2 linked regions of the Coturnix japonica genome follow. The protein of the gene in region 1 interacts with the protein of each later gene in a biochemical or structural test. Links are inferred from orthologs where the notes say so. Each region holds a gene or a part of one and is shown in the gene's direction. Other genes may lie near its edges.

Region 1 (4,502 bases):
CCCACCAGTTGTGTCCTTGCTGGAAGCAGCTCTGCATACCCCACTGTTCCCCTCTGTGAGCAGCTGCTGCGCTCTCCCAGTGCTCTGCAGTTCCCACAGCAAGGTATTCTCTCTCTGCAGTGAAGCAGCCGCATAACACAGTGTCATGCTGTAGCTGTCACCCTTCCAGCAGCACCCCATGGACCTGCACCCAGATCCCCTCCTCTCCCTTCCTTTCACACCTTGCATTATGGCCCCTTGGTCCATATGCAGCCTCAGCACACCTTGCACATCCATCCCTTTGCTCTGCACCCCAGCACCTCACCTTGCACCCCACCTCCCCTTGCTTTAGCACTCCCCTTGTTGCACAGCACCCTAAAACCAACGAGCACACGGAGCTGAATTGCACCGCTGAACTTTTATTTCAGGTCTTTGCAGAGTTGGGTGCCAGGCAACAGCTCTCAAAGCAAGCACACCCAGAGCTGGGTGCCAGCCTAAGCACGCATGGCGTCACCCATTGCTTCTCTTCTTGTTACTTAACTTGCTCCGTAACACGCGTGCGCAAGCTCAGCGCCAGCTCATTAACCTCAGGTGGTTGCTCATTATCATGTCAGATCTCCACCCAGGGCTTATCACTAATCACGCACAGCTCAACCTAGAGAACATCCTTGCTGCTTATTTCCTTTGCTATAACATTCGTGCAAGCTCCTGGCGAGACGTCTGCACTTCCTTCTCCTTGCACTGGTTCACCATAACTTTTTGCTCTGGCTCAACCACAGTCCCCACAACCAGCTTTGCATTGCACCTCTGCACCCCTCTGCAGTTGCACCCAGCTTTGCATTGCACCTCACCCCTGTGCAACCCTGCAGTACAACCCCAGGCCCCCATTAGCAGTTGCACCTCGCTCTTCAGCACATCCCACCTTGTGTTTGCACCCCTCCTCTTCAAAGCTTGCACTGCTCTTTGCGCTGCACCTCGCTTTGCATTTGCACCCTGCTTTGCACCATGCCCCTCATCCCCCCATTCCCTTGCACCCACTGCAGTTACACCCTGTTTTTCAGCACCCCCCCTTTCACCAACCCCCCTTTGTCCTTGCATCACTTACCCCCTCCTTAAAGTAACACCCCACTTTGCAGCTGCACCCCACTTTGCACCTCCCATTCCTGCTGCACCCTTTGCAGTCACTCCCTGCTTCTCAGCACCCCCCTTTAGTCCCAACCCCCCTCTGCCCCCCCTTAAAGTTATACCCCCTTTGCACCACACACCTCCCCTTCCCACCCTAAGCAACCCTTAACACCTGCACCCCGCTTTGCACCCCGCTCCCATCCCCATTGCACCCTGCAGCCTTACGCCCCTTTTCAGCACCCCTCTTTATCCCTTGCCCCCCTTTAACCCCCCTCCTTAAAGTTACACCCTGCTTTTCACCGTTCCCACCGTCACCCTTTGCAGTCTGTCCCTGCCTTTCAGCACCCCCGTTTACATCCCCTTTAATCCCCCCTTTAACCCCCCTCCCTCCCATTCCCGGTGCCCCCCGTCTCACCCCGCCCCGTCCCCTCCCAGCTCTCCACGTTCCGCCTCCGCCTCCTCCCCGCGTCCCCCCCCGGCCGCCCCGGGATGTACCGTCGTTCCGCTGCCGTCCCATCTCCTCGCAGCGTCTCTGCGGGGCGGCCCCGGCTCCCTCGGCCATGGGGGCCGCGGCCCTGCGAGCCCTTCCCTGGGCTCTGCTGCTGCTGCTGGGCCCGCTGTTACCCGGGCAGGGTTTGCAGGCCAACGCCTCGCACGGTCCCGAACCCACCGAGGAGCAGCCGTGGGTTAAAGCCGGGGGTATCACCGCCGCCCCCCCGGCCACGGCGCAGGAGGTTCACCCGCTGAACAGGCAGCACCACAACCATTCGGCAGAGGGGCACCCCAAGACCCGCAAGGCTTTCCCCGTGCTCAGCATCGACTACTCGCACGTCCGCATCCCCTTCGAGATCGCGCTCTGGATCCTACTGGCCTGCCTGATGAAGATGGGTAGGGGCTGGGGGCTGGGGGGTGGGGGGGGGGAGGGAGCACCGCGGGGCTGGAGACCCCCGGGAGGGAGGGACCCTTTGGGTGCAGGGGGTGGGTGCTGTGAGCATCCCGCTGAGATCCCCACTGTGAGCCCTGAGACCCCCTGATTGACTGCAGCCCTATGAGCACCCAATTGCAACCCCCCCATGCAACCCCCTGGGCTCACAAACCCTGCACACCCCATTGCAGCCCCCCTGTCCTCTCAGGGCAGCCCCCCCGGTGCATCCCAGTGCCCACACGAACCCCCCCATCCCACAGCAGCAGTGGGCATCCTCCTCTCTCCCCACGACCTTGTGTTTGCCGCAGGCCTGGCAGCAGCACAGTGCCCCCCAACCCTACAGATGGTTCTAATGCCACCCCACAGCGGATCCTCCCTTGCACCCTGACGTTTTAGTTTTGCTTTCTCCACCGGTGGGGAGGAAGCTTTTGTTCGGTGCTTTGTTTCCTTTCCAAACCCACCTTGTGCCTTTTGTAACCTTGGAGAAATCCTTTCTAACAGCTCCGTGCTCCCTTCCCTCCTATCCCTGCCTGCAGCACAACCCGCTGGGCAGCTCAATGTGGCTCAGGATGATGGGACACAAAGTGGCCGCGGTTACTCGAGTGCTTCCCCAGCTTTGATAGTGGGGGAATCACCCCATTAAGGGATGCAGTGCAGCAGCCCCGGCTGTGAGCAGTGCCCAGCTCCGAGGGCTTCTCTGCGCTGTTCCCTTTTCCAGGTTGGAAGGGGGGCAGGGATGGGAGCAGCTCTGCATTCCCGTGGGTTTTGCACCTCAATTCCCATCGGGTTTAACGGCAGTTGTTCCTCATGGAGAGCTGTGACTTAATGGGAACGGTGCTTTGTGCACTGAGTGCTCCAACCCCTGCTCTGCTCAGCGCAGAGGGGTCCAGGTGACCCCCATGCACACCGTGCCCCGCCGTACCCCACCCCATTCATGTGCACTGCCTGGTTAAACCCCATTTTCCTTCCCCTTCCTTCGTGCTTGATTTACAAGGGAAAACATTCCAGCCCCAGCAGCTCACTGCATTTCTGGGAGGGAACAGAGCAAAGCAGCCGAGCAGGAGGTGCAGCTCCAACCTACATGGCTTTAGGGTGCCTAAAGAGGAACCACACACCAGGAAACACCAGATCCCCAAACCACGCGGCCTCTGCTGGGTGCTGGGGGCTGTGGCGCTGCCTTGGCTTCATCCTGCTCGGAGCAGAATGAGTGATGAAATCCGGAGTGTCTGTGCGGAAGCTGAAGGAGAAAGGAGGAGCCAAAAGCAACGGCTGTGAGCAACGCCGCAGCGTGGAGCCCAGCAGTGGAGCTGCTTCTTCCCTTTGTGCCTATGGGAAGTTATTCCTGGTTGTGAGCTGAGCCTGGGTCCTGTTGCACTGAAAGCGTTATGCAAGGCTGTGATGGAGGAGCTGCATTGCTGGAGGGGCTGCATTGCTGGAGGAGCTGCATTGCTGGAGGAGCTGCATTGCTGGAGGAGCTGCATTGATGGAGGAGTTGCATTGCTGGAGGAGCTGCATTGATGGAGGAGCTGCTTTGCAACTTCCCAAGGGGTTCTGTTGGGGACAAACATCTCCCCTGAGCCCATCCCTGCCCATCCAGTAGGGCTTTGCAAGGCAGCTCCCTCAAAGAGGGGAACAAACACAGTGTGGGCTGGGAATTAACAGCGTGGCTCTAATTGCAGCTCGGTGCCTCCTGTTGTCCATCTCCCCCAGCTATCCCAGCAGTGCAGCAGCTTCCTGCCAAACCACAGCAGTGTTGTGTGCCATGAACAGCAGCGGGGCTCAGTGCAGGGGCATCCCAGAGGTTGGTGGCTTCTTTTTGCTGCTGGCTGATGGACGCTTCCTTCCCTTCCTGGGGGCACAGCACTGATGTGTGACCAATCCACGGCCCACAGGCTCGAGCTGCTTCTGCTTCCCCTCATCCCACACGGAAGGGGAGGCTCCTGCTGAGCGCTTCCCTTCGCACCAAGTGGTATTTTAAGGCTGTGTGGGAGAGGGGTGGGGGTGAGGGACAGACTCAGCAGTGCTGCTGCAGCTTCCCCAGCTCCATGCACTCAGCTCCCAGCACTGGCTGTGCTGGTGGAGGTGGAGCAGCATCAGTTGGAGCTGCTGGGAGCACTGCAGCCAGACTTTGTCTCAGAACCGTCACAGTGCAAGTTGGGTTCGGTTGTAAATGTTTTTCCTTTGCCGGGGGGGAAGGGGAAGAATGAGGCAGCAATGTGCCAGCAGGCTGCAGCGTGGTCCCTTTGCTCCATGGGCTGGGGCTGGTGGTGCTGTGCTGCTCAGCCCCTGCTCCCATCTATATGCTGCTGGCCTTGGGGAGGGCTCAGGCTCAGCTCCATCTCCTCAGGCTCTGCCATTTAGAACCACAAAGCACAGAGGTGCCGTTTCCATCCTGCTTAAGGACTGGGCTGTGATGGAGCCCAGCCCTGCTGCATCCCACAGCTCCATAGCCCCACTCCAGGGAGCAGCCACG
Region 2 (4,267 bases), on another chromosome or scaffold:
CACACCCCGACATCGGCCGCTACTTCTCTGAGTTCACTGGCACTCACTACCTGGCCAACACTGAGCTGGAGATCCGGTACCCGGAGGACCTGCAGCTGACGTGTGCCACAGTGCAGAAGATCTACAGCTCCGGCAAGGAGTGAATGGCAGCAGCATCGCGAGGATGGACGCAGAACAGAGTGTAGCTTTACCCTCTTTGCAAACCTTGCCCAGAGGGGGCAAGTTTGGTGACAATCCTTTGGCTTAATGCACTGAAAACTGCATTAAACTTTGTAACCGGTGCTAATGCATCTTTCCGTTGCCTCCCTGCCCGTTCTGGCCCACAGGGATGCTGTGGTATGAGCTGAGGGTCTCACATTGACGGTGGTGCTGAGGAGCGTGTTGTCCTTGGGAACATCTGCCCACAGACTCGTTCTGTGCTTGTCCCGCCTGGAAGGTCGGCGCTGTGAGATCCCTGCTGTGGAGGAACCCCCGTCTTCCAGAGAAGCTGCTTGTCCTGACAGTGTTGTGGGGTTTTTGTTTTGGTTGTGATTTAATTTTCTTAACGTATATCTCACGCAGATGATAGTTTTTAAAGCCTGACGTTCCACTCTGTCTGCTCCAGTCTCAATTTGTGGGAAGCTGCTTCACCTCCATATTCTGGTCATTCACAGAGCTGTTCTAGTTCTGACCATCCTCACAGGCCCGGGGAGGAGCCCAGGGAGCAGCACACTGTCCTAATGCAGGAGCGGAGCTGCTGCTCCCTTACCCTGCCCTGTGTGTGCCATCCCAGGATGGCTCCGACCCACTCAGTGCTGCTTCAGCGCTGTGGGTTCGCAGCCCCTGCTGTGTGTGCTCCTGTCGGTGCTGCTGGCACAGCGGGATGATGGCTGGAAGGCGGCCAGCCTGGAGCTGAATTGCTGATCTGCTGATCGCTGCAGCTCGGAGCCCTTCGGCTGCCGGCAGACGAGGCTGGATGCGGTGCTGGGGGGGCACAGGGGGCACTCAGCCCTTCCGTTCTGGCCACGGGTATCGACTGGGAGAAAGAGCTGCCGAACTGCTCCAGGTTGGGTTGGGATGGAGGTGCCGGTGCCGCCCCCTGGTGGCGGGGCGGTCCCGGGGCGGTGCTGCAGGTTGGGCGGGGCGCTCCCCGCCCGCAGCGCTCCCGGCCGCGCGGTTCCCTGTGCGCACAGCGGCGGCGCGGCGGGGCCATGGGCTCCGCACAGTCTGTGCCCCCCGAGATGCGGGCGCTGGCGGAACGAACCGGCTGTGAGTAGTGACCGCGGGTGGGAGGGGAGCGATAGGGGGGGACAGCGTGGGACGGCAGCGCCCTACAGCCCCCGTGGGGTGGGATGAGGGGTTGGCTGATTGCTTGTCCCCCGGCATCGCGCTGCGGGGAGACGCGGGGCTGACACACCGCAGCACACCTCCAGCCGCGCTGTGACTGCGATTCCCAATGAGGATCATCAGGGATTATTTGGGTTTGCAGCAGTAGCAGAGAACAGCCCGGGGATGGGATGGGATGGGATGGGATGGGATGGGATGGCCCGTTCCTAACTGCGGTGTACGCTGTGGGATGGGATGGGTTGTGGGATGGGATGGGTTGTGGGATGGGTTGTGGGATGGGATGGGATGGGGGGTGGTTGGGGGCCCCACCGGCACCGCAGAGGGACCCCACAGTCCCCAGTGCTGCCCGCGGGAGCTGAGTGAAGCACAGCGGCTCTCCGGTGCCTTTGGGGGCACTGAGAGCTCCGATCGATGCGGCGCCGGGTTCAGGGCTGGGAAACGTCAGTAACTAATGGAGCCGTTAATTAAACATCATAAAAGAGAGGGAGACGGAGCGGCACTGAGCGCGGACCCGCTGCTGGGCTCGGCCCCGTCACCCACGTGCGGTTCCCGGTGTGTCCCCGTTTGTCCCCTCACCGCTCGCTTTCCCCGCAGTCACCTCGGAGAGCAGATCGAGAAGCTCCACCGGCGCTTCAAGCAGCTGAGCCACAACAGGAAAACCATCCGGTACGGGCTGTGCCGGCTGCGGGGCAGGGAGGAGGGAGGAGGGAGGCAGCGCCGATCCCTGAGCCCAGCACTGGAGCATCGCACAGACCTACGTGCGTTGGGCACAAAGCACCCCCTGCCCGGCAGCCCGGCCCCGCTGCTACACAGCGCTGCTCAATGGCAGCTTCTGCTGGGGAAAAGGAGGCGCAATATTGGGGCAAAACCAATCCTTGTGGTCGCGTTTTTAAGGACGGGCCGGGATTTCTGCCCGCAGCGTTCCCTCTCCCCCCCCCCCCCCCGTGTATTCTGTGCAGCAAAGAGGACTTCGACACCATCCCCGACCTCGAGTTCAACCCCATCAGGGCCCGAATTGTTCACGCCTTCTTCGACAAGCGGTACGTGCAGCCCCCAGTGGGGGAGCACAGAATCACAGCGCGGTTGGGCTAAAAGGGCCCTTCCAGCCCCAGCCCCAACCCCTGCCCTGGTTGCCCCCACCAGCTGAGGCTGCCCAGCGCCCGTCCATGGCCATGAGCACCGCTGGGGATGGGGCACCCACAGGTCTGTGCAGCCGGGGCCACTGAGGGCTGCACAAAGGCTGGGCTGAGCCGGAGCCAGGCTGGGAATGAGGGAAATTGGAGCTGAGCTCCGGGATCCGCTGGCGCCGTGCTCTGTGCTCTGTGCTGTGCTCCATGCTCTGTGATTTGTGATTACTGTGGCCGAGCAGCCCTGGGGCTGCATGGTGCCCGTGGGGGGGCAGGTTGTGTCGCTGCAGCTGCATCCCCATCAGCTCTGCTGCCATCAGGAACCTGCGGAAGGCGCCGGCCGGGCTGGCAGAGGAGATCAACTTCGAGGACTTCCTGACCATCATGTCCTACTTCAGACCCATCGAGATGGACATGGACGAGGAGCGGCTGGAGAACTTCCGCAAGGAGAAGCTCAAATGTGAGGCAGTGCTGCGGGGCGGCGGGTTCAGGGGGGGCACACACTGACCCCACATCCCTTCTCATCCCTCCCAGTCCTCTTCCATATGTACGACGCCGACTACGACGGGATCATCACGCTGCAGGAGTACAAAAACGTAACGTATGTGGGCACTGGGGTCCTCCCCGCTGCCGCGCCGCCCACCGCAGCCCCCACTGCCCACAGGTGCTGGATGAGCTGATGTCTGGGAACCCCCACCTGGAGAAGGAGTCGCTGCGTGCCATTGCAGAAGGGGCCATGCTGGAGGCTGCCAGCGTGTGCATGGCCCGCACGGTGCGAGGTTGGGGTGGGGGTGGCACTGCAGGGCTGGAACGGGCCACGGCTGCAGCTGTGACTGTTTGTCTCCCTGTGCGCAGGGCCCGGATGAGGTGTATGAAGGCATCACCTTCGAGGATTTCCTGAAGGTTGGTGCCTCACTCCGCTCCCCGCCGCCCACCAGCACCCGGCCCCGCTCACCCCTTCCCTGCAGATGTGGAAGGGGATCGACATCGAGACCAAAATGCACGTCCGCTTCCTCACCATGGAGGCCATCGCTCACTGCTACTGACCGGGGGCAGGACGGAGCCTTCCCAGCGCCACAGCGCCGGCACAAGGCCACGTTCTGCTCTTTAGAGCCATTAAGAGGTATTTTATCTGTAATAAAAGGTATTTCTGTTTTTACTCTTTGCTGAGAAATGCTCCAGCTGCTGCCAGGCGCCTGATGGAGTTCTCCATGGTGCCATGGGAGGTTATGGGCACCCAGGGAATAATAGGATCATGGGGCCACAAGGCCATGGGGGGACAAGGGCATGGGAGCAAAGGGACACAAGAGTTGAGGGATGCAGGAACAAAGAGTCACCGGGGACAAAGGGATGTGGGGATCCGGGGACCCAGGAACACAGGCTGCATGTGGCTGCCGCCCCCACATGTTCCCACTGGAATCAGAGATAACACTCCACTTACAGCACTAATAACCGGGTGGCTCGAGGCACATCTCTGTCTCTAAGGCAGCCTGAGCCAGGAGGGAGGGAGGGGAGAAAAGGGCAGTGGTTATTTTTAGAGAAGCTGGAAAAAAAAGTGTTTGTTGTTGTCTTACAAACCCACTCCCCCCGTGCCATGGAGCTGCCCCCCGCCCAGCAGTGGGGCACAGCAGCAGTGGGGCACAGTGAGCTCCCCAGCTCCAGGACTCAGATGTGGGCTCCTTTCCAGCAGGGACAGCTCAGAGATACTGCAGCACCGCGCTGCTGCCCTGGCAGTAACTGTGTGCTGTCCTTCCCTGCCTGAGAACTGCAGCACAGCACTGCATTGCTGCAATGGTGAGGGGAAAAAAAAACAA

What was found. The genes of interacting proteins can lie anywhere in the genome.
Region 2: the proteins of SLC9A1 (region 1) and TESC form a complex in vitro, tested with the Homo sapiens proteins (4 studies listed by BioGRID and IntAct, with this or other methods). The link is inferred for Coturnix japonica from reciprocal best matches to the Homo sapiens genes SLC9A1 and TESC.

The regions. Positions count from the first base shown.
Region 1 is NC_029538.1:1,686,643-1,691,144, reverse strand, and holds the start of SLC9A1 (sodium/hydrogen exchanger 1), read left to right. Parts: upstream 1-1,567; 5' UTR 1,568-1,664; coding exon 1,665-1,992; intron 1,993-4,502. UniProt on the Homo sapiens protein: Electroneutral Na(+) /H(+) antiporter that extrudes Na(+) in exchange for external protons driven by the inward sodium ion chemical gradient, protecting cells from acidification that occurs from metabolism.
Region 2 is NC_029530.1:10,142,439-10,146,705, forward strand, and holds the start of TESC (calcineurin B homologous protein 3), read left to right. Parts: upstream 1-1,190; coding exon 1,191-1,252; intron 1,253-1,920; coding exon 1,921-1,992; intron 1,993-2,285; coding exon 2,286-2,366; intron 2,367-2,773; coding exon 2,774-2,913; intron 2,914-2,987; coding exon 2,988-3,049; intron 3,050-3,117; coding exon 3,118-3,225; intron 3,226-3,308; coding exon 3,309-3,356; intron 3,357-3,421; coding exon 3,422-3,499; 3' UTR 3,500-3,576; intron 3,577-4,267. Other genes in the region: FBXO21 (F-box only protein 21), read left to right, coding at 1-143. UniProt on the Homo sapiens protein: Functions as an integral cofactor in cell pH regulation by controlling plasma membrane-type Na(+)/H(+) exchange activity. Promotes the maturation, transport, cell surface stability and exchange activity of SLC9A1/NHE1 at the plasma membrane.